Macaca fascicularis: one gene and its partners. The protein of the gene in region 1 binds, or shares a complex with, the protein of each later gene. Links are inferred from orthologs where the notes say so. Each region holds a gene or a part of one and is shown on either strand. Other genes may lie near its edges. The genes, in order: UPF3B, MAGOH, MAGOHB, EIF4A3 and UPF2.

The links.
Region 2: UPF3B (region 1) and MAGOH share a complex: the UniProt entries of both Homo sapiens proteins name them as parts of the mRNA splicing-dependent exon junction complex. The link is inferred for Macaca fascicularis from reciprocal best matches to the Homo sapiens genes UPF3B and MAGOH.
Region 3: UPF3B (region 1) and MAGOHB share a complex: the UniProt entries of both Homo sapiens proteins name them as parts of the mRNA splicing-dependent exon junction complex. The link is inferred for Macaca fascicularis from reciprocal best matches to the Homo sapiens genes UPF3B and MAGOHB.
Region 4: UPF3B (region 1) and EIF4A3 share a complex: the UniProt entries of both Homo sapiens proteins name them as parts of the mRNA splicing-dependent exon junction complex. The link is inferred for Macaca fascicularis from reciprocal best matches to the Homo sapiens genes UPF3B and EIF4A3.
Region 5: the proteins of UPF3B (region 1) and UPF2 are in contact, whole or in part, in a crystal structure (PDB 7NWU), measured with the Homo sapiens proteins. The link is inferred for Macaca fascicularis from reciprocal best matches to the Homo sapiens genes UPF3B and UPF2. Residues at the interface, in NP_542199.1 of Homo sapiens: Lys52, Arg56, Arg57, Tyr79, Glu81, Phe83, Asn85, Asp86, Thr87, Ser88, Leu89, Tyr90, His92, Tyr94, Arg96, Tyr98, Ile130, Glu132, Pro135, Phe136, Lys138, Ala139, Ala140, Arg147, Asp148, Lys150, Val151, Gly152, Thr153, Ile154; in NP_056357.1 of Homo sapiens: Lys767, Arg768, Pro769, Pro770, Leu771, Glu773, Tyr774, Lys777, Lys790, Arg793, Gln794, Arg796, Lys797, Leu798, Pro799, Trp800, Gln801, Cys811, Ile814, Asn815, Trp817, Tyr837, Gln838, Glu839, Asp840, Ile843, His844, Val846, Asp847, Gly848.

What each region holds. Positions count from the first base shown.
Region 1 is NC_088395.1:126,203,182-126,209,333, forward strand, and holds the start of UPF3B (regulator of nonsense transcripts 3B), read right to left. Parts: upstream 3,670-6,152; 5' UTR 3,593-3,669; coding exon 3,437-3,592; intron 2,536-3,436; coding exon 2,429-2,535; intron 2,252-2,428; coding exon 2,145-2,251; intron 1-2,144. UniProt on the Homo sapiens protein: Involved in nonsense-mediated decay (NMD) of mRNAs containing premature stop codons by associating with the nuclear exon junction complex (EJC) and serving as link between the EJC core and NMD machinery.
Region 2 is NC_088375.1:181,433,489-181,439,788, reverse strand, and holds the start of MAGOH (protein mago nashi homolog), read right to left. Parts: upstream 4,235-6,300; 5' UTR 4,165-4,234; coding exon 4,077-4,164; intron 1,059-4,076; coding exon 1,000-1,058; intron 1-999. UniProt on the Homo sapiens protein: Required for pre-mRNA splicing as component of the spliceosome. Plays a redundant role with MAGOHB as core component of the exon junction complex (EJC) and in the nonsense-mediated decay (NMD) pathway.
Region 3 is NC_088385.1:10,339,667-10,346,018, forward strand, and holds the start of MAGOHB (protein mago nashi homolog 2), read left to right. Parts: upstream 1-2,077; 5' UTR 2,078-2,139; coding exon 2,140-2,233; intron 2,234-5,185; coding exon 5,186-5,244; intron 5,245-5,934; coding exon 5,935-6,045; intron 6,046-6,352. UniProt on the Homo sapiens protein: Required for pre-mRNA splicing as component of the spliceosome. Plays a redundant role with MAGOH in the exon junction complex and in the nonsense-mediated decay (NMD) pathway.
Region 4 is NC_088390.1:86,538,784-86,544,050, forward strand, and holds the end of EIF4A3 (eukaryotic initiation factor 4A-III), read right to left. Parts: intron 4,884-5,267; coding exon 4,745-4,883; intron 4,108-4,744; coding exon 3,992-4,107; intron 3,107-3,991; coding exon 2,999-3,106; intron 2,903-2,998; coding exon 2,775-2,902; intron 2,278-2,774; coding exon 2,261-2,277; 3' UTR 2,034-2,260; downstream 1-2,033. UniProt on the Homo sapiens protein: ATP-dependent RNA helicase. Involved in pre-mRNA splicing as component of the spliceosome. Core component of the splicing-dependent multiprotein exon junction complex (EJC) deposited at splice junctions on mRNAs.
Region 5 is NC_088383.1:12,861,391-12,867,075, reverse strand, and holds part of UPF2 (regulator of nonsense transcripts 2), read left to right. Parts: intron 1-835; coding exon 836-1,019; intron 1,020-4,609; coding exon 4,610-4,749; intron 4,750-5,685. UniProt on the Homo sapiens protein: Involved in nonsense-mediated decay (NMD) of mRNAs containing premature stop codons by associating with the nuclear exon junction complex (EJC).

The DNA of each region.
Region 1 (6,152 bases):
TTTAAATCATTATTTTCAAAAAGATTAATTTCATGGCAATATAATAGACTGAATTATACAAGAATGGGAAAAATGGAAAATCCTGTAAGTTTAGAGACAGTGGTTGTCTAGACATTAAATGATGAGAACATAAAGTGTGACTGAAAGTCTAGGTGAACAAGATATTAAAAAAACAATAAAATCCAGCCTGGGCAATATAAGTAGACCTTGTCTTTAAGATTTAAAAACAAAACAAAACAAACGAACAAACAAAAACCACAATGGGGAAAGGATAGTCTCTTTAATAAGTGGTGTTGGGCTCGGTACGGTGGCCTGCACCTGTAATCCCAGCACTTTGGGAGGCTGAGGTGGGGGGATCACTTGAACCCAGGAGTTCAAGACCAGCCTGGGTAACATAGCAAGACCCCAGCTCTATAAAAAAATTTAAAGCAAATTAGCCAGGCATGGTGACACGCGTCTGTAGTCCCAGCTACTCAGGAGGCTGAGGTGGGAGGGTTGCTTGAGTCCAGGAATTCCAGGCTGCAGTGGGCTATGATTGCGGCACAGCACTCCAACCTGGGTGGAGACCCTGTCTCAAAAGATAAACAATAAATTGACAAGATTCATAACTTACATGTAAGAGATTTTAAAAAAGGAAAAAATTAAACACAACTCAGATTTCCAGGCTAAGTAACTAGAATCTAGTTAAATATCTACTGGAATAAAATAGTTGGAGTGGAAAAATAGCTGGCTTGGGGAGATTAATAAAAGTTGGATAAACACTGGCAATCCTTCAATTTTTACTGGCATAGTCCCTGACAAAAATTTAATTTTTACCAACTTTGAAGGAATATTGAAAAAAACAAAACTAAACAAGAAGACACACTATTTACCTATAATTGCAAACCAAAAAGAAAAGTGGCAAATGGCAGCTTAGACATTCTCTGGCTAAATGTTGTAGGTAGCATATAATAGAGTGTTAAAGCAGAAATGTGTCTTGCCTATAGACTGGACCTTTCTAGATATAAAGTAAGAGAAGTATCAAGGTTTTTTTTGTTTTTGTTTTTGTTTTTTTTTGAGACAGAGTCTGGCTCTGTCGCCAGGCTGGAGTGCAGTGGCGTGATCTCGGCTCACTGCAACCTCTGCCTCCCGGGTTCAAGCGATTCTTCTGCCTCAGCCTCCTGAGTAGCTGGGATTACAGGCGCCGCATTTGGCTAATTTTTTTTAGTATTTTTAGTAGAGACGGGGTTTCACCATGTTGGCCAGGCTGGTCTCGATCTCCTGACCTCGTGATCCACTTGCCTCGGCATCCCAAAGTGCTGGGATTACAGGATTACAGGCGAGAGCCACGCACCGGGCCGAGATGTATCAAGTTTTTTTTTTTTTTTTTGGAACGGAGTCTTGCTCTGTCGCCCAGGCTGGAGTGCAGTGGTGCGATCTCCGCTCACTGCAAGCTCCGCCTCCTGGGTTCACGCCATTCTCCTGCCTCAGCCTCCCGAGTAGCTGGGACTACAGGCACCCGCCACCATGCCCGGCTAATTTCTTGTATTTTTAGTAGAGACGGGGTTTCACTGTGTTAGCCAGGATGGTCTCGATTTCCTGACCTCGTGATCTGCCCGCCTCGGCCTCCCAAAGTGCTGGGATTACAGGCGTGAGCCACCGTGCTCGGCCAATGTATCAAGTTTCATGTTTTAATTATATACAACTTTGTGAGAATGTTCAACAGTATCCCAACTGGGAACTGTTGGCTTAATGGATTTGAATTAAATAAATGTTTGTCTTTGAAGCAAAATAAGAAGTAAATATTTAAAACTTATCAAACAAGTTTAAGAGTCACTTATCAGTACTGCAGCTGAAACTCTATAGTCAAAACAGCAGGTTTAAGCCAGGGCAAAAAATTTGTCACACGAGGAGAAAACAGTTGCAATTTCACTCAGTTGATCAAATTAAAAAAATAGTAAGTTAATAAAAGTAACCAAGGACTGTGAAAAGTCACATGTCTATTTATAAGACTGCAACAAGCTTATCAAATGTGTAAAACTCTTTACTTAAATGTTGCACATTTTATCACCCAGGAAGCAACGCAATGCACACACTGTCTTAAACATACAAATGACAAAGAATGACAAAGAAATTCCCTTTTTATTTCAGTTACCAGAACTCACCTTTATTGTCAAGGAATACATAACCATCAAAGCGATCCCTGAACAAAATAATGTCCTCTTGGTTTTTAAAGTTGATGTATGCTCTGGCATACATATGAGGATACAAACTGCAGAGAGGAAAGCAATTATGTAAATGTATTTGCAGGTGTCTGGCCCAATTACAAGTATGCATATATTAAAGACAAGCTCAAAAATTAAATGGAAAACAGTAGGATAAAAAGAGTGAAAGAAACCTTTTTCATTTACCCCTTTCCTTTTTTTTTTTTTTTTTTTTTTTTTTTTACCTCGTATCATTAGAAAAAAACTCAAAATAATCATGCTCAGGCATAGGTTGAAGATGTTCCTGAAGCTGCTCCTTGGTCAAAGTGGGAGGTAATCTTCGAATTACCACCTTAAGAAATGCATAAGGAAAATAAAATTAGTAAAAATCAATTTTCTCTCATACCTGAAAGAATCACAGTTCCTGAAGAAGACTGGGCTTTTTAAAATATGAGATCACTTGTAAAAACCCAGGAGAAAATATTCTGCAGCCCAATGCTCAGAAGTAGTCAAAGATAATAGTAACGCGGTTTTAAAAAAAAAACGCTTGGAAATGAGAACCACCTGGAGCAGGGAAAAATCTCAGGTTTTGCTCTTTACAGCAGCCCTGCAGTTTACCAGGTTTGTGCATCATTTTCGATCACCCATTTTTTAACAGATCTAGTGGCAAGAAATTAGTAAGCCAACCCTGGTCTTTGTGGGTGCCACGAAATCTTGATTTAGTAACAAGTTTCTCCCACGTCCAACACATCTTAAAACAAAATCCTTGCCCATTGAACTTAAGAATTCAAAACTCTAACGAATACAAAAAATCCACCCATTGCTCTCAAAATAGGATGCTCTCGATCTACCCTCCCGTACCATTAATCACCCTGAACTCTCCCCCAACTCGCCTCCATGAATAATATTCCCATCCCTGATGTCTCCTTCAGTATTTAATATTTCTCCCCAATTACACCTTTAGTTCCTCATTCTTTATACCGTCGCTCTCTCTTCCCATTATCACCTCACAGCTCTGACCTAAACCCTTCCCGTTTGGGGAGTCCCCCCTTTTCCTCACCCCTACCCAGGATTTGGCCGGGAGGGGCTCTCCCCATTTCGGGAGAAAGGATAAACCAGGATGGTGCGACTTCCATTCAGGCGAAGAGAAGAAGGGGAACCTGAGAGAGAAAGGGGCCGGCCCCATTCCCAGCCATCCTCCCCGCGCTGCGGACCCGTCCCGCCCTCTCCCGGGCCAGCGGCCGACCGGGCACCTTGCTCAGCGCTTCTTTCTTCTCCTTGTTGCGATCCTGCTTATCTTCCCCCTTGGAGCTGTCCCCCGAGGTCCCACCACCGCTGCCTGTGGCCCCGGCGGGGGTTAACAAGGTTACTCGCTTCTCCTTAGGCCTGTGCTCCTTCTCTTCCTTCATGGCTACGTCCCCCGCTGAAGCGGCTCGGCCGGAACGGGGCTACCCCGGTCACCAACGGCTCCAGGGAAGCTCCCGTCAAAGCTCCGCCCCCAACAAATGCCCCTTATGATAAGTCGGGCCCCACGTTCCACTGGGGCCTGCCAAGCTCTCGCGAGACTTGGGCCTTTCCCAGTGCAAAGGTTTTAACACCTGGTTTTTACTTCCCGCCCGCCAAGTTCCTGTGCCACCCAATCCCCTCGCGGCGCAGACTCCCTCTGGGCCCGCCCCTTCGCGCGTCATTAGCAACTCCGCCATCTTGAAGTGACTCTGTCGGGGACTACAAGTCCCGGCATGCAAAGCAGCTGCCCGCTTTTGTTGGGCGTTCAGGAGCCAGAGGTATCTCAGGGTCCCTGTTTGTAAGTAAATCGAATCCTTTCATCTTCAGAGTTTTTCAGGTCGAAAGATACGTTCTGCACGCTTAGTTTCCATCGGATAAACTCAATGCCGTCCAAATTTTGCCTCACTAGGGGAGCGACTTGTATATTTTGTCTTTGAATTCAGAGGCTTTAGAATTTATTTTCCTACAACTCAAAGAAAGAGCCTAACATTAAAAAAAATTTATTTTCCTTATATTGATTAGGATTTACAGATACTTAGTAAACACTACAATATTAGCCGAGTTCAGTGGCGCGCGCCTGTATTCCCAGCTGCTAGGGAAGGCTGAGAAGGGAGGATCTTGAGCCCAGGAATTCGAGGCTGCAGTGAGCCATGATCGCGCCACTGCACTCCAGCTTGGGCGACAGAGCGAGACCCTGTATCTAAAAAAGAAGGATAATAATAAATAAACACAAGATACTGATATTTAAAGGAGTAATATGACCAAAATATACGAGATTTGTTTTCATCACCTTATTTTACAAAAGGATCATTCTCCCCAGGTACTGATGTCCCACAGGGAAGGGAATAAAAATAAAACCCAATTTGATTTAGTTGTGATCACCCTCTTCACTTAAAAAGGGCCAATTTTACATTATTTATAATAACTCCAAACTGGAAACAATCCAAATGTTCTCAATAGGCAAAGGGATAAAACAAAATATGGTACAGCCATAGAATGAAATGCCACTCAGCAATAAAAATTAACTATTGATATACGCATCAACATAAGTGAATCTCACAGTGATTATGTTGAGTGACAGAATCCAGACACCAAGAGAGTACATGTTGTACAATTCCATTTATATGAAATTTTAGAAAAGGTAAAACCACAATGATAGAAAGCACTTCAGTCGGCCGGACGTGGTGGCTCACGCCTATAATCCCAGCAATTTAGGAGGCCAAGGCGGATGGATCACCTGAAGTCAGGAGTTCGAGACCAGCCTGGCTAACTTGGCGAAACCCCGTCTCTACTAAAAACACAAAAAATTAGCTGGGCGTGGTGGCTCATGCCTGTAATCCCAGCACTTTGGGAGGCCGAGGCAGGCAGATCACCTGAGATCAGGAGTTCAAGACCAGCCTGACCAACTTGGTGAAACCCTGTCTCTACTAAAATACAAAAATTAGCTGGGCATGGTGGCGGGCGCCTGTAGTCCCAGCTATTTGGGAGGCTGAATCAGGAGAGTCACTTGAACCTGGGAGGCGGAGATTGCAGTGAGCCGAGGTAGAACCACTGGACTCCAACCTGGGTGACAGAGTGAGACTCCATCTCAAAAAAAAAAGAGAGAGAGAGAGAGACAGACAGACACCCATAGAGGACAAAAACCAAAGTAAAGATGCAATAGGAGCCCAAGGCAGAAAGCTGCCTCAGGGCCAACTCCCATTTTTGCTGACCTCTAGAATATATTCCCCTGACTCTGCACTTAAATTTTTTCACTCTAAATGTCCAGCCTATTTTTGGATTCCTATTCCTGTGGCCAAAACTGTTTCCCTGTATTTGGGATCTGTTACTCTTTCTTTCAGTACCTGGCCATTCTTATGAGCCTTGGAAATCATCAGAGTCATGTATCCAACTGCCTATTTAACATCTCCACTTAAGACGTCTAACGTGTTCAGCCACTGAATGCATCCAAAACCGAACACTTGATCTTCCCCCACACCAACTGTATTAGCTTCCTATTCCTGCTGTAACATTACCACAAATTTAGTGGGTTTAAATAATGCAAGTGTATTATCTTACAGTTCTGTAGGTTAAAAGTCCAACAAGGTTTTAAGTTTGTCCTGTGAGGGGGCAAAAAATATAGTAAGGCTGAGCGCGGTGGCTCACACCTGTAATCCCAGCACTTTGGGAGGCCGAGGTGGGGGATCACGAGGTCAGGAGATCAAGACCATCCTGGCTAACACAGTGAAACCCCGTCTCTACGAGAAATACAAAAAATTAGCCAGGCGTGGTGGTGGGCACCTGTAGTCCCAGCTACTCGGGAGGCTGAGGCAGGAGAATGGCGTGAATCCAGGAAGTGGAGCTTGCAGTGAGATTGCACCACTGCACTCCAACCTGGGTGACAGAGCAAAACTCCATCTCAAAAAAAAAAAAAAAAAGTAAAAATAAATAAATAAATAAATAAATAAATAAATAAGCAGTCCA
Region 2 (6,300 bases), on another chromosome or scaffold:
TTCACCGTGTTAGCCAGGATGGTCTCGATCTCCTGACCTCGTGATCCACCCACCTTGGCCTCCCAAAGTGCTGGGATTACAGGCGTGAGCCACCGCGCCCGGCCAGTTATTCTTAACTAGGTAATACGCTCCTGAGGAGCAAAATGTATTTGAAAAGATATGCCTGTGTAAAAAAATAGTGAGAATGTTGACATGTGTGAATAAGCATGAAACTGATAGCTAAAACAACAGTATGAAAAATATATGCTAAGACATTTTCAAAGGTGGCAGAGTGGTTAAAAGAGTAGCTTTGATGAAGCCTTAATGATGTAGTAGAAATCACAGAGAGGAGAATACAAACTTTACTGGGGAATTCCTTTAATTGGGAATTCCTGCTGTATCTCTTACTAGCAGGGGTAACTCTGAACAAGTCTCATAATTAATATCTGGGCCTTTATTTTCTTATTTGTAAGGGGGCTATAATACCCTCCCCCATCACATGGGCTTATAATCAGGGTTAAATAAGATGCCATGCCTGACATCTAACATGCATTCAATGATATCAACTGCTTTCCCATGCTCCCTTTCCCACTCAGATGCAAATTAAATAGCTCTCCATTGTGTACTATGTGCCAGGGAATATATAGAGCACTTTAAGTATAACACATTTAATTTTATGACAGCACTTGGGAGTGGGAGGTAGCTTTTATTTTCCCTGTTTTTGCAGGTGAAGAAACAGAGATTTAATCAAGTTCAGCCAGGAACTTGCCCACTGTCACATGAGGTAGTAAGCAGCAGACTCAGGGTTCAAACCAAGGTATGTCAATGGTTACCAGTAATTGATTCCACATTGTAAAATAAAAAAATCCCAACTAAAAGATGATTTGGGAAATAATCCAGAAGCTGTCTACAGACATGTGTCTCTCTCCCTGTTCTTTACCTTTCAATACTAGATACAACAAAAACAATGCAAGACAAAAAGCTGAAATGTAGAAAATGAAGGCCTCTCAGAAGGCATACCTCTTTTCTGATCATGACATCATTCTTGTAATTGCTGTTGTTGGCATATCTTAACTTCCCTGTGGGGACAAAAGCCAAATTCAACATATAATAAAAACATGAATAAAGCATCAATACCATACCAAGACTATCGGCAGTTGCCTAAAATGTATCCAACTTGCTCAAAGTGTCTAAGACATTTATTATTTACTCTTAAGGTAGTTCAACAATACTAGTCTTTCAGTTCTTCACTTCAGGCTTAAACAGCCAAATATACAGCTGACACTCAACTACTGCAAAAAGCAGCTCAGGTGAGGTAAAAACACAGGCAGGCTCTTTTCTGACTTTGTCGAATCACATTTTTGCAGGTGAATGTCCTGAAAACAGGCAGAGTAAATGATAACTTACCAGCACATAGGACCTCCTGAGGCTCAAATGAGTTGTGAAAACATTTTGAAAACTGTAGGATGCTGTTTACATATATTATCATGTGACTGTGCCACACTCTATTTCTGTGATGGAAAAGTTGTTGCTTTTATCACTGAGCACATTTGGTACACAAGACCCTTTGTCCATGTGTGCGTCTAACAGGTTAATGTGAATACATGGTGGGGATGAGGAGAAGATAGAAGGAAACAGAAGACATGTAGACTAGAAGACATACATGTGAGATGAGCCCAGTGAATTTATTCCAACAGTCTCTGTGCTGTCTCTCTGCCTCAAGTTTCTTCACATTCAGTTCACTGTCCATATAGTGGACAAGGTGATGTGGTAACAGATCTATCAGATTAGGTTACTCTAATACTTTGATAAAGTCAATGGCTTTCCGCTGCCTTCCTGGTTAAAATCCGGCCGGGCGCGGTGGCTCACGCCTGTAATCCCAGCACTTTGGGAGGCCGAGGCGGGCAGATCACGAGGTCAGGAGATCGAGACCATCCTGGCTAACACGGTGAAACCCCGTCTCTACTAAAAATGTAAAAAATTAGCCAGGCGTGGTGGCGGGCGCCTGTAGTCCCAGCTACCTAGGAGGCTGAGGCAGGAGAATAGCGTGAACCCGGGAGGCGGAGCTTGTAGTGAACCCAGATCGCGCCACTGCACTCCAGCCTGGGCAACTGAGCAAGACTCCATCTCAAAAAAAAAAAAAAAAAATCCAAACTCCTCAACATGGCATACGGCTAAGCAAAGCCCCTGCCTGCTTTTCCAGCCTCACTCCTGCAATATTCTTCTCTCACACAGCTGGAGTCGAACAACTTGGTTTCTGCCTGAAACATCCCAAGCACTTTTTGGTTTTCAGCCTCTTTGCATGCTGTCTAAAATGCCTTCTTGACTCTTCTTGGTCTCCTAATCAATACCTCACATCCCCTCCTCCCATCATTTTATGTAGGAAGCCTCCTCTGACCCTCAGGCTTGGCTAGGTGCCCCTTCTCTGCTGCAAGTCTCCTCTGTTTCTTTTTACCACAACACCTAATACGCTGTTTGGTCCCTGCTTACAAATCCATCTCCCTCACAGTCGGGGCCTGTCAGATACATCTTTGTGGCCCGCTTAATGGATGTTTTCTGTCATCTTTGATTCCTCTTTCCTTCACCACAGTGCCTCCGCCAAAAAAATCCTATCAACGATCAAAGTCCAGTTGATTCTGCCTCCAACAGTTTCCTAAATCTTTCTCTCCATTTCTACTATCTCTGTAGTCCCAACCGACATCTTTTTTTTTTTTTTTTTTGTGACACAGTCTCGCTCTGTCACCCAGACTGGAGTACACTGGCACTATCTCAGCTCACTGCAACCTCCGCCCCAGGTTCAAGCGATTATCCTGTCTCAGCCTCCCGAACAGCTGGGATTACAGGCATCTGCCACCACGTCCGGCTAATTTTTGTATTTTTAGTAGAGGCGGGGTTTCACCATGTTGGCCAGGCTGGTCTCGAACTCCTAACCTCAAGTTATCCGCACACCTCGGCCTCCCAAAGTCCTGGGATTACAGGCGTGAGCCACTGCGACTGGCCCCCAACATCTTTCTTGTCTTGACAACAGTCTCCTAATCAATAGCCCTGTTTTCACTGTTGCCCATTCCGCACCCAATAACCAGAATGCTTTTTCAAGAACAGATCACATTTCTTCTCTGCTTAAAACCTTCCAAGCCCGGCCAGGCGCGGTGGCTCACGCCTGTAATCGCAGCACTTTGGGACACCGAGGCCGGCGGATCGCCCGAGGTCAGAAGTTCGAGACCAGCCTGGCCAACCTGGTGAAACCCTGTCTCTACTAAAAATACAAAATTAGCCGGGCGTGGTGGTGGGTGTCTGTAATACCAGCTACTCGGGAGGCTGAGGCAGGAGAATCGCTTTAACTCGGGAGGCGGAGGTTGCAATGATCCGAAATCGCGCCATAGCATTACAGCCTGGGCAAAAAGAGCGAAACCCGTCTCAAAAAAAAAAATAAATAAAATTAAAAAAGCCTTCCAAGTCCAAACTCTTTACCCTGGTCTATAAAGATCTACAAGGTGCGGCTCCTACTACCTATCCGACATCATCTCCTGCCATCTCCCAGCTCACCACTCTTCAATCACACTGACCACCTGAGACATGCCTAAGCTCATTCCCGCCCTGCAGCCTTGACTTCTGGTATTCCCTTTGGGTAGAATGGTCTTCCTTGTGAGCTTCACAAGGCTGGGTCCTTCTTGCTAATTAGGGCTCAGCTGCAATATACCATTAGAGCTCTCTAATGGCCAACCTATCTAAAAGCAGCCCATCCAGCGATTCTACCATATTTTCTGACCACTCACTGCTATCCGGAATCATCTTTTTATGATCTCTCTCCCAGCAGTAAAACACAAGTTCCACGAGAGAGGAAGTTTGTCTATCTTCGCTGTCGTATCCCCAAAGAGTGGAACAGAGCCTGGCACACAGTGGGCGTTCAGCCAACGTTTGTTGTATGGATAAAACGACGCCGTGGAGCAGACACAGTGGCGCTCCTTTCAGATCCGCACTGCACAGGTCTCAGCCCCTTCCTCCTCTAGTTCCCCACAGATTTCCGACCCTCGGCCTCCCCACTCGCCCGCCCCAAGGCCTGGTCCCGCTCCGGGCGGGCGGCAGGCTGCTTTTACCATCCGGTCGGAACTCAAACTCCAGGAACTCGTGGCCGAATTTGCCCTTGTGCCCCACGTAGTAACGCAGATAAAAGTCACTCTCCATGGCTCCCAAAAGACAACCGAGCCTGAACTTCCAACAGCAAGCCGCACTGCTGCGGTCTGCGCCCGACACTGACGTTTGCGGCGGCGCGCGGAAGTGACGTCAGATTACGCCGTCGCGTAATGGAGGGGTTCCTTCTAGCTAACCTATTCGCCCGGAAGTGACAACAAGACTGCCACACCCTCTCACGCCTAGGAGGTAACGAACTTTGTTTAACCCGGAGGCGGGGCCAACCAGCTCCGCTTCTCCACTTGGACGCGGGAGCGAGGTTGAGGTTGGTACCCGCTGGGTTCTCTCCCGGCCTGAGGCCGAGAGCCAGCCGCCTGCCTACCTCTGGGCTTTGAACGCGGGGTCTGGTGACTTCGCTTAAAGATCTCGGACCGAACACCCCGAGCCTTGCCCCCGCCAGGCTCAACCTCAGTTCACAGGACCCCCGACTTGTGTGAGTCGTACACCGCTCTTTACCGTCTCTGGACCTAGGTCATCTCGGCAGTAAAATGGGGTGAAATGACCCGACCTTCCCGGAGGATGCCGCGCACGATGTGTGTGCCTCAAGATGGCTTCCGTTGACCTGAACTGTTAAGAAAGCCCTCCTCAGTGACGCCTTCCCTGAATCCACAGTGGAGATTGCCGTTTCCCTGGAACTAGTTCACCCACACTTACCCATTTCGTCCTTTTCCACCTTTTATTTCTATCTTTCTGCCCCACTGATCTCTAGAATAGGTGCTGTGAGAAGTTAGAGTATTTGATCTCCCACTCCCCAGTCATCCCACTTACCGAGCAGTGATTCTCAGCCTGGCTGCACATTGGAATTACCTGGGGAGCCTCTAAAAATACTGATGCCAGGGCTCTACCCCAAGCCAATTAAAATCTCCAGCGCTGGAACTGGGCATTGGTACTCTTTGTAAAGCTCTCAGTTGAGGACCACTGACCAAAGAGACTCTTTTCAGAGCAAAGTTGTCCTCTGTGAAGCCATTCTGGCTCTGGAAAAAATTTACAGTTGAGTAGGGCCAGAGCAATCAAGATCATAATTATTTAATAGGAGCCTGCTCTCACTCGTCTAAGTTCCACACTTAGAGAGAATGAATGGTTCTAGAGACAGTGCTGAGATGACATCATTCTTGGGGCCTGGCAACTAGAACAGTATAAGATTCTGTAAGTCGGGACAGCAGTCTCTGATTCCTACCCCCAGTCTTTTTTTTTTTTTTTGAGACAGAGTTTTGCTCTTGTTGCCCAGGCTAGAGTGCAACGGCTGGTTCTCAGTTCACCGCAACCTCCACCTCCTGGGTTCAAGTGATTCTCCTGCCTTAGCCTCCCAAGTAGCTGAGATTACAGGCACGTGCCACCACATCCAGCTAATTTTTGTATTTTTAGTAGAGACAGGGTTTCACCATGTTGGCCAGGCTGGTCTCAAACTCCCGACCTCAGGCGATCCATCCGCCTCAGCCTTCCAAAGTGCTGGGATTACAGGCATGAGCCACCGTGCATGGCCCCCAGTCTTAACAATGAGTCCTTTTCTCCCTGAAAAAGCATTAGCAGCAGAGTGTAGAGTAGGTGTGGTGGGGGAAAAAAACCATTGGACACTGGTTAAAATAATCTTTTGTTTTAACAATGACTCATTGTAACCAAAGGTGAACTGACTCAACTTTTTAGACTTCAGAGTTTCCTTCTCTTTAAAATGAGCATAAAAACGTACACCTAGCAGAACTGTTATAAGAAACAATGTCTCGGAAACTGTAAATTGCTATAAAACCATGACATTTTTATTACAAAACACCGCATATTGGTAGTAACAAGGGAACTGTATAAAAGAGAAGGGGGCTAGACACAGTGGCTCACACTTGTAATCCCAGCAGTTTGGGAGGCTGAGGCAGAAGGATCACTTGAGCCCAGAAGTTTGAGACCAGCTTGGGTAACATAGAGAGACTTTGTCTCTACAAAAAATTTAAAAATTAGGTAGGTGTGGTGGTGCACACCTGTAGTCCCAACTACTTGGGAGGCTGAGGTAGGAGGATAATTTGAGCCTGGGAGGTCAAGGCTGCAGCGAACCATGATCATACCACTACACTCCAGCCTGGGTGACGAAGCAAGACCCTATCTAAAAAAAAAAAAAAAAAAAAAAAAAAAAAAAAAAAAGAG
Region 3 (6,352 bases), on another chromosome or scaffold:
ACACACACACAAACACACACATTTATATATAAAATATATATTTATATATAAATGTGTGTGTGTATGTGTGTGTGTGTGTATGTGTGTGTGTGTATATATATATATGTATATATATATATAGACGAAGTTTTGCTTTCCTCACCCAGGCTGGAGTGCAATGGCGCGATCTCCGCCTCCCGGGTTCAAGCGATTCTCCTGCCTCAGCCTCATGAGTAGCTGGGAATACAGACGCGTGCCACCAGACCTGGCTAATTTTTGTATTTTTAGTAAAGACAGGGTTTTGCTATGTTGGCTAGGCTGGTCTTGAACTCCTGACCTCGGGTGATTTGCCCCCTTTGGCCTCCCAAAGTGCTGGGATTACAGGCATGAGCCACTGTGCCCGGCCACGTATCATCTTCTTCCTCCTCCCCTTCCCCCTCCCTCCTCCTCCTTTTTCTTTTCCTTTTCCTTTCCTTTTTTTTTTTTTTTTTTGAGACGAAGTTTCGCTCTTGTTGCCCAGGCTGGAGTGCGGTGGGATCATCTCAGCTCACTGCAACCTCTGCCTCCCGGGTTCAAGCGATTCTCCTGCCTCAGCCTCCCGTGCAACTGGGACTACAGGCACACGCCACCACGCCCAGCTAAGTTTTTGGTATTTATAGTAGAGACGGGGTTTCACCATGTTGGCCAGAATGGCACATATATTCTTAATTATAGCAATTGATCCATTGTGCCAATATTTGCCTTACAAGTTTGCTTTCTTTTCTAGACTACCAGTGCAAATGCCTTTTTATTTCTAGTTTCAAACTGTCACATAGGAAATGTTTGTTAAAACTAACGTTTTATAAAATTTAAAGCTTATTTTACATATCTCATTTGATCTCTCAAGAATTCTGTGAGCTTGGCAATGTAGATTGCTGTATATGCCTTAGGCTGATGAATAAACAGGCTTAGAGAGTCACTTGCCCGAGGTTAGGTAGCTGTAAGTGTTGGGATTGAATCCCAGGTCTTCTCACCACCACTTTCTACAAAAATCACTGAAGGTTGTCAACCAGCAGAGAGGATTACTCTGTGTGTTGATAACAAAAGGGTGATCAATAATATTTAAAAAGCAGACTTTGTGTAAAAGTCTTTCCCTTACCTTAAAAACTATGCCACAATGGAGCATTCTTTCATTCCTCCAATTTAATTATATCTGGCGAGAAACAGTAATGGGCTAAACCATTGTTGTATCTTAAGTCAAATTGCCAAAACTCCACAGGCTACTAAAAGTTAACCCTTACTGAATGAATTAAGAACCATAGAAGTTCTGCTGTTAAAAAACAGCACGGTGACAGTCAGGGTTTTTCAGGCGTAGGGGGTGTGTGTTTTAAGACTTTAAGCCAGTTTTGTCCCACTGAAATTACCGTCAGTGATTTTTAGTAGAAAGTGGTGGTGAGAAGACCTGGGATTCAATCCCAACACTTACAGCTACCTAACCTCGGGCTAGTGACTATCTCTAAGCCTGTTTGTTCTTCAGCCTAAGGCATATACAGCAATCTACATTGCCAAGCTCACAGAATTCTTGAGAGATCAAATGAGATCTCTTAAGTTCTTTGCTGTGATGGATTCCTTTGACTTTGTCTCTATTATTATAGGCTTATAGGTCCGGGGCAACTACCAATCGTTATTCAAAGGGGAAAGCACCCTGTTCGAAATCAAGTAAGAAAAATGGTTTATATTCCCGGTCTGCCATCTCTATTCTAAGCTTTATCTTTATTTAGCTCCCAGTTAAAGGGGGAATAGAGCCACACCCACCTCACAAACGCCCCGAGGACTGGGAGACCAGAAAAGTAAAAGCCACTTGCAAACCTAATTTAGCTCTAAGTCGATAAAAAATACTATCATATGCTCACATTTCTAATATTTGCTAATATAATGTGATCTTTATTTTGAAAATAATGTGCCTCCAATCCTAGTAAAGAGAAAGTCACGGCATGCGACTCTCCCTTCAGCACCAACTGGCCTCTCACGCGAGACTCGGCTTTCACGCTTTAGTCCAGGGCTGCAAGGCAGGCGGAAGAGAAGCGCCTGTGGTGACGCACTTATTCCGCGCGATGACGTGACTACAAGGCGCCGGGGGACACGTTGGCTGGGTTTTCGGCGGGCTTCCCGGGGACAAAAATGGCTATGGCTAGCGATTTCTACCTGCGCTACTACGTAGGGCACAAGGGCAAGTTTGGGCACGAGTTTCTGGAGTTCGAATTTCGGCCGGACGGTGAGAAGAGGCCCACGGCACGCGGTGCTGGGAAAGGGGAGCGAGACCGAGAGGCCGTGGAGGAGGCGAGGGGAGGCCGGGTGGTGTGGAGGGTACAGGGGGCGGAGGCCACTGCTTCCCTCGAAGGAAATAGGAGCTTAAGAATAGAGGAGGCCTAAGTTGGTTTTATAAATGAAAGAGAACTAATTGCAATAAATTAAAGCTAATCCTGTCGCAAACTGAAAAGTCGAACTTACAGTAATCAGAATTCTGTAACTGCACCAGAAGGGACTCTGTAGATTGTTGACCTGGATTAAAAATGCTAGCACTTTTTTGAAAACACCCCCATCAGCGGGTGGTCCAATGGATGAATAAAATCTTGTGGTGACCAGTACCTTTTCTTCATTCAGGCTGTGTGTGTTCTTTGAAGGGGAGGAGCCCGACGTGTTAACAAATGAGAATAATAATATGTTTTAGGTGTCTACGTATAATTGTTCACCACAGGACGCATGAAGAGTACCAAAAAAGAGGGGAGATGTAAAGTTCCACAGGAGGGAGTCAGGAAAATCTTCCTAGAGGAAGACACTCTTGAGATGAGTCTCGAAATGAGAGACTTGGCCTTTGAGAGAAAAAAACAGACTTCCAGAGCAGTGAGAGCAGAGGACGAGGTGAAACTGCTACCCCAGTAGCGTGCAACAATTTGTTTTCTGACAGCGCTATTAGAGAATGTTACATTGGTCCTGCCTACCTGCAACAAGAAAGTTCATTTGGATATATATGTTTTGGTTTTTTTTAAATGCACGTTTTTTGCTGGGCAACAAGCAAATACAAAATTTGAAGGTACACTAATGAGTAAGACAAATTTAACTCAAAGAGATTTGTCTTGGTGGGGACACAGACATTTAACTATAAAGCAGTAGGTATATTAATAAGCAGGCTTTGGACAATGTTCTGTGAGAGCAAGAATAAAAAATTAGAGGAGAAACGTATATTAGGAAAGGAGAAGAGTATCAAGCATTTCAGGCAGAACTCAGGTGAACTACAGTCCTGCAATTATTACTTTGAAACAGAGTCTCACTCTGTCACTCAGATCTGAGTGCAGTGGCACGATCTCAGCTCACTGCAACCTCCGCCTCCCAAGCTCAAGTGATCCCTCACCTCAGCCTCCCGAGGTGCTGGAAATACAGGCCAGTGCCACCTCGCCCATCTCCTTTGTTGTTGTTGTTGTTGTTGTTGTAGAGATGGGTTTCCGCATGTTGCCCAGGCTGTCCTCAAACCCCTAAGGTCAAGAGATTCACCAGCCTCAGCCGCCCGAAGTCCTGGGATTACACGCATGAGCCACCGTGCCAGCCCTGCAATTATTTAGAAACCTTAATCACTGTATTCGACCTTACTCTCCCCATAAATTCAGCTAAATTTACCTGAATTCATCTATTCTTTATGTAGTATTATTTTCAGTTCCTCTGCCTGTGAACACCGTCAAGCTTGTCTCTATTACTTTTAGCAGGTCACATAAATTAAGCACCTGAATATTATCAGGGAAGTTTTATGCTAGAACAGTGGTTCTAATCAATGTATCTGCCACTGCACTGTTACACATACTTCTTCTATTGGTAATATTGAGTCTCCCGAAGACCTGCCTGCCTGCCTGCCTGCCTGCCTGCCTGCCTGCCTGCCTTCCTTCCTTCCTTCCTTCCTTCCTTCCTTCCTTCCTTCCTTCCTTCCTTCCTTCCTTCCTTCCTTCCTTCCTTCCTTCCTTCCTTCCTTCCTTCCTTCCTTCCTCTCTCTCTCTCTCTCTCTCTTTCTTTCTTTCTTTCTTTCTTTCTTTCTTTCTTTCTTTCTTTCTTTCTTTCTTTCTTTCTTTCTTTCTTTCTTTCTTTCTTTCTTTCTTTCTTTTTCTTTTTCTTTTCTTTTTTTCTTTCTTTCTTTTTTTTGAGACAGAGTGTTGCTCTGTCACCCAGGCTGCAGTGCATCTCAGCTCACTGCAACCTCTGCCTCCTGGATTGAAGCGGTTCTCCTGCCTCAGCCTCCCGAGTAGCTGGGATTGGAGGCATGTGCCACCATGCCCGGCTACTTTTTCATATTTTTAGTAGAGATGGGGTTTCTCCATGTTGGCCAGACTGGTCTCGAACTGCTAACCTCAGGTAGTCCACCTGTCTCGGCCTCCCGAAGTGCTGGGATTACAGGCGTGAGCCACTACGCCTGGCGCCAAGCCATCAAAGACTGGCATTTCTATCATTTTAGAGTAACTGCTGCACCTTATAGCTGTGTCTGGGCAACTGACTAGCCATAAGGGGAAGCATACATCAGATAATACACAAATCATGATGGATTAAAATTAAATATAAACTAGCTAACAAACTCATCAACTTCGATCCAGAAGCATCGTTTGTATCCTTCTTAGTCATAATTCTAAAATGTCTACAGTATAATTGTATGCATACATTTGAAGGAAAAAAAGGAACATTTTTTTGTAGTGGAGAAAGCCTGAGTATTAAAAGAAAGTAGATCTAGGTCTGAATCTCCCATGTTTAAGTTACTTAACTTTGTTTTCTCTCTTATGAATAGGTGAGAGAATAAAACCTGATTTTTAGGATTGTTTTACAGATTAGATTAAATTCTCTGTGTAACGCACTTAACACCAATACATACATATAACAAACTTGAATGTTAGTGCCTTTTGCAGATTCTCTTTCTAGTTCATGATGTAGCTTAAGAAAATAGGCTGTAAAAATGACCCTATATCTATATGTTGTAGGCATAGACTATTTAAATATTTGGCTATCTTCAACTTCAGCAAACTTAACCAGCAAATATTTATTGTCTACATGTCTAACAATGATTTTACACAAGGAGGGAGGAAATAATAAAAGTAGTATAAAATGGTCTTTACCTTTAAAATTGTATATGATGTCATTAATTTTTTTTAGCAGTTTTTGCTATTGTAAATTGATTTTTTTCCATTTCCCACAGGAAAGCTTAGATATGCCAACAACAGCAATTACAAAAATGATGTCATGATCAGAAAAGAGGTAAGTTCTATTCGAATGTCTTTTTTTTTTTTTTTTGCATTTAGCCCATTTTCTTCAAGTCTATGTTGAATTTACAAAAGTACATCTAAGGCTATATTGTAAAGAAGAAGGCAATTTACAGATTGAAAGAGTTGCCATTTAAATTAGATACAATGGTTGCATCCATAGGAATGAGAAGGTTCAGAGAACTAACCTTGTTGTGAACTACACTTGCATTTATTTATTTATTTTTATTTTTATTTTTATTTTTATTTTTTGAGACAGAGTCTCGCTCTGTTGCCCAAGCTGCAGTGCAGTGGCGTGATCTCAGCTCACTGCATCCTCTGCCTCCCAGGCTCAAGCGATTCTCCTGCTTCAGTGTACTTGCATTTATTACTGTTCACCTTATAGATCTTGTGATCTAACCACTTGGGGGTATTTGGATCTTAATGTTACAAAGGCAGAATACAGTGTTTCAAAGATGGGTAATGATGAGAAGAGGGAAAAATAAATGTGAGAGGAAAGGGCAAGAGATGAAGAAAAGTAATATAACAAGGATAAATTATTCTCTCTCATTCTCTACTTTTGGAATCAATTAAATTTTTCTATATTCCTCTATTTGAATATTCAGAGTTTGTAACTCTTATTTCTTTCTGAGTTGAGGGGTGACATAGGTGGACATTATCCAATTTTATTATGATTAATTTTTAGGCTTATGTGCACAAGAGTGTAATGGAAGAACTGAAGAGAATTATTGATGACAGTGAAATTACAAAAGAAGATGATGCTTTGTGGCCTCCCCCTGATAGGGTTGGCCGACAGGTTTGTATTTAGTGATTCTTTAAGTGCATAAATATTAAAAATTGATAATACTATTATGATTCCCCTTATTTATTTTGAATGAGTCTAAGTTGATTCTTTGGCTTTCCATTTAATAGACACCTGGTAAATTCTCTTTAATTTTGTCTTTTAGTTCCGTTTTTCTGTGCTACCTCCTAGTAGTGAAGGAGTCAGTGCATAGCTCTAAATTTAGATATCTTTCTCTGTAGTCACCCTAGCCAACATTAGGATGCTTTCACAGTGCAGTGTTATGAATAATTTCTGTTGTGTGTTAATCACTTTTATTAAG
Region 4 (5,267 bases), on another chromosome or scaffold:
CCACACACCGTCAAAGGGAAATAGCATTTTCATCACTGACTGCCAAAGGGCCAGGCCGCTCTCCAGAAAGTCTGGAAACTTTGTCAACCTTTAGGATTGGTGGTTTTTAAATTTTGGATCATCACATACCATTTCTGATTTGTCAGCACAGTTTCACATTTTCATGAACATTTGTTCTGTATTTTTCCTTTTAGGATGACCTTTCCTAGATGGTGTGTGGGGTAGCTTAAGCTCCGCCCCCTTCTCCTGCCATCTCCTCCCCAAGACACCAATGCTGCCTCCTCCGCTGTAACACCGTGTGCTTATTCATCTACAATCATTCTTACTGGCAATGGAGGCCTTCCATCCTCTGCAGTGACTGTGGAAACCTGAGCCACTCCTCGTCTCTAACACAAGCCTGGCAGCAGCTCCTGATGAGACCAGGTGAGCCTCAGTGAGCTCAGGCGCTGGCAGATACGGACATTGAGGCTGGCACTGGTCAGTGCTGTGGTGGGCATCACTCTGCACTGCTGCTGAGCAAATGCCCTGAACACACCTGTATCTGGTTCCTCCTTGCCAGGAACTCATTAAGCTGCCTGGGCTTGTAGTCTCATGCTCCTCCCGCTCGGCCAGCAGTGCCACCTGAGAGCCTTGTTAACCGCAGGTTCTCACTCAGCAGAGCCAGCGCAGGGCCCGAGCACTTGCATTTCTAACCAGCTCCTGATGATGCAGCTGGTCTACCAGCCACCAGCTGGCTAGCACGGGTCCAGTCACAGTTTCAGTAGAAGGAAGTTCCATTCATAAACTATACAATTTCAGATGCCTTCAAGTAGAATTACCTGATGAAATTTAAAAATACTTCCAAGCTCACCCTAACCCTGAAATGAAGATTATCATCCCAACCAATTTCGGGAAGGGAGGGGCCAGTTAGTTTTAACGTTTCCATTTCAAGTATTAGAGCCTGATCGGTGGCTCATGCATGTATTCCCAGCACTTTGAGAGGCTGAGGCGGGAGGACTGCTTGAAGTCAGGAATTTAAGACCAGCCTGGTCAACAGAGGGAGACTCTTGTCTTTAAAAACATTCAAAAAATTAAAAATTGGGCAGCTGTGGTGCTGTGTGCCTATAACGCTACATAATTACTTTAAATATTTGGACAGATAACTTAAATAATACTTTAATAATTTAAATATTTAAACAGATAATTATCTGTTTTGGTTTGTCAACACTGCGGCAAGTCATGCTCTTGCCACTATACTCCTGCCTGGGCGACAGACAGGGAGATCCTGGCTCTCAAAAAAAAAAAAAAAAAAAAAATTAGAAAAGTGAGGCCAGGCACGGCAGCTCACACCTGTTATCCCAGCACTCTGTAAGGCCAAGATGGAAGAATCACTTAAACCCATGAGTGACAGACCAGCCTAGGCCACAAAGTGAGAGACCCTGTCTCTACAAAAAAGTTAAAAATTAGCCAGGTGTGCTGGCATGCACCTGTGCTCCCAGCTCCTCAGGAGGCTGAGCTGAGAGGATCGCCTGAGCCCAGGAGGTTGTGGCTGCAATGAGTTGTGATGGTGCCACTGCACTCCAGCCTGGGCGGGAGAGCAAAACTCATCAACAATGAAACTCTCTCAAATTAAAAAAAAAGATTAGAAAAGTAAGTGAGATGGGCCGGGTGCGGTGGCTCACGCCTGTAATCTCAGCATTTGGGAGGCCAAGGCGGCTGCATCACGAGGTCAGGAGATTGAGACCATCTGGCTAACATGGTGAAACCCCGTCTCTACTGAAAATACAAAAAAATTAGCCGGGCGTGGTGGCGGGCTCCTGTAGTCCCAGCTACTTGGGAGGCTGAGGCAGGAGAATGACGTGAACCCGGGAGGCGGAGCTTGCAGTGAGCTGAGATCGCGCCACTGCACTCCAGCCTGGGCGACAGAGGGAGACTCCTTCTCAAAAAAAAGGAGACTCCTCAAGAAAAAAAGAAAAATTAGAAAAGTGAGTGAAATGACCCAAGACTACACAGTAAGTTACTAGAGAAGCTGGTGGCATCTTAGAAATATAGAGTTTATGGGAAAAGTTTTAAATTTTTAATGAAAAAGACTTAGAACAATGTATTATTTACATGTAAATAAGAAAAGAGCAGAATCCCCACATCCTCTTCGGAGGGAGACAGGAGGCCGTTTATGAGAAGAGAGTCCATATAAACCCCATTAAATAGAAGCTGGACCTAAATACTTCCAAACAGGAGTACAGAACAGGTGAACAGTCTTCACTCATCCCCTCGATCTGCTTCAGATCAGATCAGCAACTGAAAGTGAAGAAAGAAACAGATTAAGGAACAATACAAAAAAAAAAAAAAAAAAAAGAAAATTTGTAACGTAAATTTAACTAAAATCTCACAAGAGACTTCTCAAAACAAAAAACAGGCCAGGCATAGTGGCTCACGCCTGTAATCCTGGCACTTTGGGAGGCCAAGGTGGACAGATCACTTGAGGCTAGGAGTTCAAGACCAGCCTGGCCAACATGGTGAAATCCCATCTCTACTAAAAATACAAAAATTAGCTGGTTATGGTGCACGCATCTGTAATCCCAGCTACTCAGGAGGCTGAGGCAGGAGAATTGCTTGAACCCAGGAGGCAGAGGTTGCAGTGAGCCAAAATCATGCCACTGTACTCCAGCCTGGCTGACAGAGCAAAACTTCGTCTCAAAAAAAACCCACAACAACAAAAAAACAAACTCAAGTGCCCCAAACTAAGAATAGGGAAGTTCTCTCTACAATTCCAGTAGAGCTGGACGATTTCCTACCGTTCATAGGCATCTCATCGATCTGAGTGGAATAGTACTGCTCGATATCTCTGAGGATGCGGATGTCATCGTTCTTCACAAAGTTAATGGCGACCCCCTTCCGGCCGTATCGACCTGATCTCCCGATTCTTCAGGAATAAAACAATATCACAGTCAGTATCTACAGCAATCAAGATTTAGTAAATGTGTCACAGAAGTGAAGTCAATGAGAGCTTGCATCCTACCTGTGTATGTACAATTCTCTGTTATTGGGGAGATCATAGTTGATGATGAGGGACACCTGAGGGACATCCAACCCCCTGGCCCAGACGTCTGTAGAAATAAGCACTCGGCTGCAAAACAGAAAGTGTGTTTGAGGCGATTAAATTACTCATGCAAGTTTAAGACTGGACTTGCTTCCATTGCTAATTTTGAGGAATCCTGGCTACAAGTTCAAAAGATATGAGATTCCCCCTCACACCAGTCTGTCTGCAAACATGAAGCCTCAGGGACAGCACCAGAAATCCCTGTGCAGAGGAGCTGTTGCTGGATTTAGTTACTTCGGTCATGTGCTCCATCAGATTAAAAAAACAGACATCTTTTACTACACTACCTTTAACTTGTTTCGTCGGTCCTAAACCAATTAATTGGGAAAAATATTTTACTTTTGCCTAGCAACAAATTAAGAACAGTATCTTTGGCTGGGAGTGGCAGCTCATACCTGTAATCCCAGCACTGCCAGAGGCTGAGGTGGACGGATCACCTGAGGTCAGGAGTTCGTGACCAGCCTGGCCAACAAGGTGAAACCCCGTCTCTACTAAAAATGCAAAAAAAAAAAAAAAAAAAAAGCCATTCCAGCTACTCAGAAGGCTGAGGCACAGGAATCACTTGAAACCAGGAGGCAGAGGTTGCAGTGAGAAGATACCTGACCATGTGGAATTAAACTAATTGAAATGATGAACAGAAAACCCGTACTTACTGGAAAAGAAGACACACACTTGTAACCAAAGTGCCAACCTGGCTAGTTAAGGCTCGTTATCACCTCAACCGAAGTATTACAGGAGCACAGCGAACGTCTCATTAACTGGAAGGTTTTCTGCTCACCCAGGGCCTCAGCTTTCAGAGCAGGAGCTCGTCATCTCCCCAGCTCTGGGGCCTGCCTCAGGCAGTGCATATGAAGTGCTTAGCACACAGTCTAGCAAACCCTGACCGGCAGAGCCACAGCACAGCGGACCCACCTGGCGCCCGACCGGAACTCCTTCATGATGGACTCCCGCTCTTTCTGGGGCATGTCTCCATGCATTGAGGACACAGTGAAGTTGGCTTCTCTCATTTTTTCTGTCAGCCAGTCCACCTACAAATCCAATCAGCAGATGCTACTGCAAGTTCGTACACCAAACCAGAGATGTGCATTCGGGATTTTACCCCCATCATTTGCAGAACCAGTATCAATATTCACAAAGTAACTGCTCTTAAAACTCAGGATCATCCTAACTGGATGCACAAACTTTTTCCCAGAAAATGTTGGGGTGCACTCACAAAACCCTCTTACTTCATTTTCTCCACATAATGACTCTATGGGGGAGGGGGCCAGGTGTGCTCATTCTCATTTGAAATTTGAATTCCAGTCTTGTCAGAATGTAGCCCAATTCCTTTCCTTTCTCAGGAAAGTGGCCGACAGTCCTCAGGTCTGCCTCCACATTATCATCACCTGGGGATCTAAAACTACTCAAGCCTGGGTTCCACCTTCAACGAAATCTGAATCTTTCAGGGTGGCTGGCATCGCTGTTCTGTAAATAAAGTTTTAATGGTCACAGCCGTATCTGACCATTTGCATATTGTCTACAGCTGCTTTTGCAAGAGACCACATACCCCGAAAGCTTAAAATATGGACAAACTGGCCCTTCACCGAAAAATCTTGATTTAAGTCATTCAGAGACTCAATCTGCAATTCCCCTTCAAGCACATGGAGGCCATGCAGTACCTCTTACCTTTCTTTTGGTGTTGCAGAAGATGACCGCCTGAGTGATGGTCAGTGTGTCGTAGAGGTCACACAGAGTGTCAAATTTCCACTCTTCCCTCTCCACTGCCACAAAAAATTGCTTGATGCCTTCCAGAGTCAATTCATCACTGAAGGACAAAGACAAATCCTGTTACATCCTCATTCTTCCAGCTAGGACATGGTATCTGGTGCAGACCCAGCGCCCCAGCCCTATCCTCCATCCCATCAGCACTTCCGTCACACAGGTCTCTATTCTGTATCCTACTGAACATTTCACAATGTGCACCACGTGGAATATGATTCTAAACAAAACACTGGTAAGTAAATACAGTCATCTAATTTTTAAATTTAGAATTATTGGTTCAAACCACAATGAGTATTATAAAAGATGGGTTTTTTTGTTTTGTTTTGTTTGAGACAGGGTCTTGCTCTGTTGCCATGGCTGAAGTGCAGTGGCACGATCACAGCTCACTGCAGCCTCAGCCTCCTGGCCTCAAGCAATCCTCCCACCT
Region 5 (5,685 bases), on another chromosome or scaffold:
GAAAGGATCACCTGGAGCAGTGCTTCTAAACTTTGCTGAGCATCCATGTCCCCTGGGGACATTGTAAAGATGCAGATTCTGATTCAGTTGATCTAGGAGGAGGACTGAGATTCTACATTTCTAACAAGCTCCCAGATGAGGTCCACACTTGGAGTAGCAAGGACCTGGAACAGACTGGAGAGGAAGAGTAAAACTCCCAGAGGAATACCTGTTTATATACTAGTAAATTCTTGGGTTGGGGTTGTGCTTTCAGTTAATGTAAATTTAGGAATTAGAACAAATATAAAATAGAATGTGGGAACCAGGCTTGGAGTAGAGAGGGAAAATATCTACACAGTGCCATATACACAGTAGATGTTCCATAAATGCTTGTTGATGATTAGTGGTTTTATATATTTCAAAAACCGTATCTTCAGATACTTTAACTCTTCAAAAATCAAAGCAAGTAGTACAGAGAAAATAATGAACATTTATCACAACAATGGCTTTGAATTTGGTTATATTTGCAAAATTAAATATGGGAAATCAGTACCTTGTTTTGGAGTAGCTGAAAATTTATTTGGTATTTTATTTATAATATATCCTTGCCTTAAACTGTGACAGTTATAATAAAAAGATATTTAATACATTCACCAAATAGCTGAAAGCCTGTATAGACAGAGGGAAATGATTGGAATAAGATCATTGCTGTTGACCGTTAATAGAAATGGTAGGTGTCTTTTACAACCTTTTAGCTTAATAGTTATAACTAGGTAACAGCACAATATAGTTTATTATTTTTAAATATTTTGTTATTAATTTCTTGTAGCTAAATTTATTTTTCATTTGTTATCAGCGTTATGTTTGGTGGAAGAAAAGTTTGGAGGTTTGGACAAAAGACCATCCATTTCCTATTGATATAGATTACATGATCAGTGATACCCTAGAACTGCTAAGACCAAAGATCAAACTCTGTAATTCTCTGGAAGAATCCATCAGGCAGGTACAAGACTTGGAACGAGAATTCTTAATAAAACTGGGTAAGCAATTGATTATAGACAGAAAATGAAGGTGCTATTTGGCAGATTGTATCTGGAATTTGCTTTATAATGTTACCAGTCAGAGTTTACATTGTATCTTTTCTATTTTCAGTGTTGAGTGTAACATAATAGTGTTAGGTAATAGCCATGTGATGTGCTTGATTTCACTAGGTAATTTCAAACTGGAGAAAAACAGTTATGCAGTACTCACAGGACTTGAAGCAAGTAATAGTGATGGGAAAAAAAAAAACCGAAAACCACAATCCTGTCTACCTCTCTTAATTGTAGAATTTTTGGTTGCTAATATAAAATCTATTTTTGATTAAAGCATTACTTATTTTTGCAGTATATATTTTCAACAGGCATTATTTCCTAAAAAGTGCAAGGAAAGAAACTGTAGAAGGGAGTAACTGTCAGAAATTTGGAACTATCCTGCAGGGTAGGATTTCAGAGCTTACCACTGGCAGAGTTGCTTCTGTTTCTAAGGACTAGAGAAAATCTAGAGATAATTAGAAGGTTCTCTATATACTTCAGTATCCTGAGGTTGTTTTGGGGAGAAGAGTTAACTCTTGAATAGCTGCCATTAGAGCTGCAGGAACTTACATGTCTTTAGAAATAACCAGTACAAGGTATAGCCATACCAACCTGGTTTATATGCTGATAGTTCTTAGCATGTTTTATTGTAGTCATTTTAAAGTGACATGTTTTGGACAGTTGTGGTGGCTCATGCTTGTAATCCCAGCACTTTGGGAGGCCGAGGCAGGCAGATCACCTGAGGTCAGGAGTTGGAGACCAGCCTGGCCAACATGGCAAAACCCCATCTCTACTAAAAATGCAAAAATTATCCAGGCATGGTGGCGCACGCCCATAATCCCAACTACTCAGGAGGCTGAGGCAGGAGAATTGCTTGAACCCGGGAGACGGAGATTGGAGTGAGCCAAGATCACGCCATTGCACTATAGCCTGGGCAACAAGAGTGAAACTACATCTCAAAAAAAATAAATAAAATAAAAATAAAGTGACACGTTTTCATACTATTAAGCTAGTATTTGATTTCCCACTAGAACTTGGTACATTCATGTCTATCATGAAGGGATCTTTACCTTAACCAGTTATGCAAATTATATAAATTTACTACATTGCATATCTGAAGAACCACTTTTCATGGTAAAGGTTTTATAAGTGCTGCTACTGATTGTGCAAGTATTAACTTTTCCTGCAACTTAACCCGTAAAAGCATATGTGATTCTTTTTGTTCTTTGAACCTTTTTCCAAGTTACCTACTTTCTTTTCCTTTTGAAATTTCTAATTGAATACATGATCTCATATCAAGCAGAGTATTTGTGAACTTATTTCACTTGCTTTGGATCCTTGGAAAATTGTTAAGTCTTAGCCTTGTTTCTCAAAAACCTTAATGAATGGTACTCTCTGTATAGTGGACATGAGTAAATATTAGTGTGATACCTAGTTTGGTGACAGAAAAGAGAACAGTTGTGCTTTGTCCTTTGTAGATCAAAAGGCTAAAAAGGACTGCAGGCTTCTTGTGAGGACTCTGTCCTTGCTTAGAATATGAAGGTAAAAAATAGATCGCTGTTCATGAATAAAACTCAAAAGATGGTAGCAGCTGCAATCAGTGCACTCCCAAGTCTCCATTTGCTTCCTGGTTATAGAGTCTAAATATCAGGAAGAAGACATATGCAGAAAAATTGATATTAAATCAGTTTCCTACTGATAAACCAGAAGATAATACAGTATTGTGCTTTTGGTAGTTTTTTGTTTTCAGACACCTGAAAATTCATTGTCTTATGTTAGTTTTATAGTATCCCAATGTTAACATTGTAGTTAATTGGAAAATACTAAAACCATTTTCTTGTATTTTAAAAATAATTTTTAATAGTATTAAAAGTCATAAGTGTTCATGACAGTAATTTTTTTAAATACCAAGAAAACAATACCAATATTCCATACAGAAGGATAATCATGTGTTACTATTTTGATACATATTTTTCTACTCTTTTTAAATTTTTTATGTGTTTGTGATTTTATAACCAATTGGTTCTACTTAATACATTATGAAATTTTTTCTTGACATTACACATATTCTTTTAAAGCTTTATTTTTTGTTTTTTAATTGGCTGTGTTCATTTGTATCTATGTGCCATAATTTACTTCATACAGCTGTTTCACTCTTAGGTTGATACTGTTTCACTCTTAGGTTGATTCTAGTTTTATGTAAATAACATTTTTAGTGTACCTCTGATTTTCTCAGGATAGGTAAGATTACTGGCTCAGATTTTTATTTTAATTTAAGAACAAAACTAAAATGATAATAGTCAATATTATTTGAATTCTGGTTTGGAAGTGTTCAAACCAGTATTCATGAAATGAGAGGGTTAAATCATATCATCACTAAAGTTTCTTCCTGCTTGAATCCTCTCAGATTCTATGAATCAACAGGTATTTATTTAACACCTACTGTGTATTTATTAATATATGTGCTCTCAAGTTTTGAACATATAAGTTTTTTGTCCTCAAGGGTCTTATAATCTGATGTAATATTTATGTGATTATTAGGAAAAAAATAACAACGTAGTATATCATCAAATGTAAGATGCTATAAGTTCTCCACATGCTTTAGGAGCAAATAGGAGAAAAAGTAATAGATTGAAATACTCATTGACAGTTTATGCAGCAAGTAAAACTGAAACGGAACTTGAAGAGTGGATGGGATCTGAAAGTACGTATTGAAGGGTGTTCTCTATTGAGAAGGATATTGGACAAGCAAAATCTTAAAGCAGTGTGTTCTGTGACAGGAGATGTCTGAGGCAACTTCAGGGGAGGGCTTAGGAGAGAGGAGTGGGTAGCAGATCAGTGGGATCGGATGAGACCATATTGTGTGCATCTCAAAAGTAGAGAGGGTGGATTGGAATTCCAACAGGAAGAATTGACTAGGCTGTGAAATGTGGGATGGACACAGGAGGTGAAAGCAGATTCAGGCCAGGGAGTTCCATTAGGCTTAGGAGGAGAATGCTGTTATTGAAGAAAAAAAGTGAGTCTGTATGGTGACAAAGCTGCTATGTAGCTTTTTGCCCCATTCCCCCACATCTTAATTTGCATACATTCAAATTGATAGCCAAATATGATTTATCCATTAAAGTGGCACAATTTGTTTCAAGTCTTTGAGTTTTTGGAGACTCTTTAAATCTCATTTGGTAAAGAGTGTGGCCAACGCTGTATCTTACATATGGCTGAGACTGTACCTCCTCTGTTGCTGTTTTCTACCTTTGTCCAAGACTGAGATATATAAGATTATCCAAGTATTTAAAGCTGTAAGAAAAGAGGGAAAAGTATACACACATATACACTTATTTTTTGTCGCTTTTTGTTAGTGGTGTTTCTTTGTTGAAATGTAGGCCTACACATTTAGTTTTTAAAATGTCTCTCACCGCAGTTTTTAACTCTTTTACGTTTGTTCTGAGAAAATGGCTGTTGAATTATTAATGCATACTTTTACATGAATTGGTATAGTATAGAAAACTGGCCTGTATCTATTTTTAATGTATTTTCCATTTCCATCTTCTCATTTCAAGGCCTAGTAAATGACAAAGATTCAAAAGATTCTATGACAGAAGGAGAAAATCTTGAAGAGGATGAAGAAGAAGAAGAAGGGGGAGCTGAAACAGAAGAACAATCTGGGAATGAAAGTGAAGTAAATGAGCCAGAAGAAGAGGTGATGACTTTTATATATAGCAACATAGAGTACATTTGTATAAGAGTATTTTGATTATACGAGCCAAAATTTTTTTAATACATAAGACCTCCTCCTTAGTTGTTTTTTGTTTTTTTTTTTTTTGAGACAGAGTCTTGCTCTGTCGCCCAAATTGGAGTCCTGTGGTGCAATCTTGGCTCACTGCGACCTCTGCCTCTTGGGTTCAAGTCATTCTCCTGCCTCAGCCTCCCGAGTAGCTGAGATAACAGGTACCTGCCACCACGCCCAGCTAATTTTTGTATTTTTACTAGAGATGGGGTTTCACCATGTTGGCCAGGCTGGTCTTGAACCCCTGACTTCAAGTGATCCGCCCCTCACAGCCCCCCAAAGTGCTAGGATTACAGGCGTGAGCCACTGCACCTGGTCTCTTATTTAGTTTTATGATAGTAAATGTAACTAGTAGTATATTTCTATCATAAAACCCCTTGTTTAATTGAAAGTTTTTTTTTTGAGATGGAGTCTTGCTCTGTCCCCCAGGCTGGAAGTGCAGTGGCGCGATCTCGACTCACTGTAAGCTCTGCCTCCCGGGTTCACGTCATTCTCCTGCCTCAGCCTCCTGAGTAGCTGGGACTACAGGCACCCGCCACCGCGCCCGGCTAATTTCTTGTATTTTTAGTAGAGATGGGGTTTCACCGTGGTCTCGATCTCCTGACCTTGTGATCCGCCCGCCTCGGCCTCCCAAAGTGCTGGGTTTACAGGCGTGAGCCACCGCGCCCACGTTAAAAGTTTTTAAAGAAAGTAATAAAATACTGATCATAGCATTTTTATTTAATAAGCAATTTAAAGAAAAAAATTGTTTGATCTCCACATGTCTTTTTTTTTTTGTTTTTTTTTTGAGACAGGGTTTCTCTCTGTTGCCAAGGCTGGAGTGCAGTGGTGTGATCATAGCTCACTGCA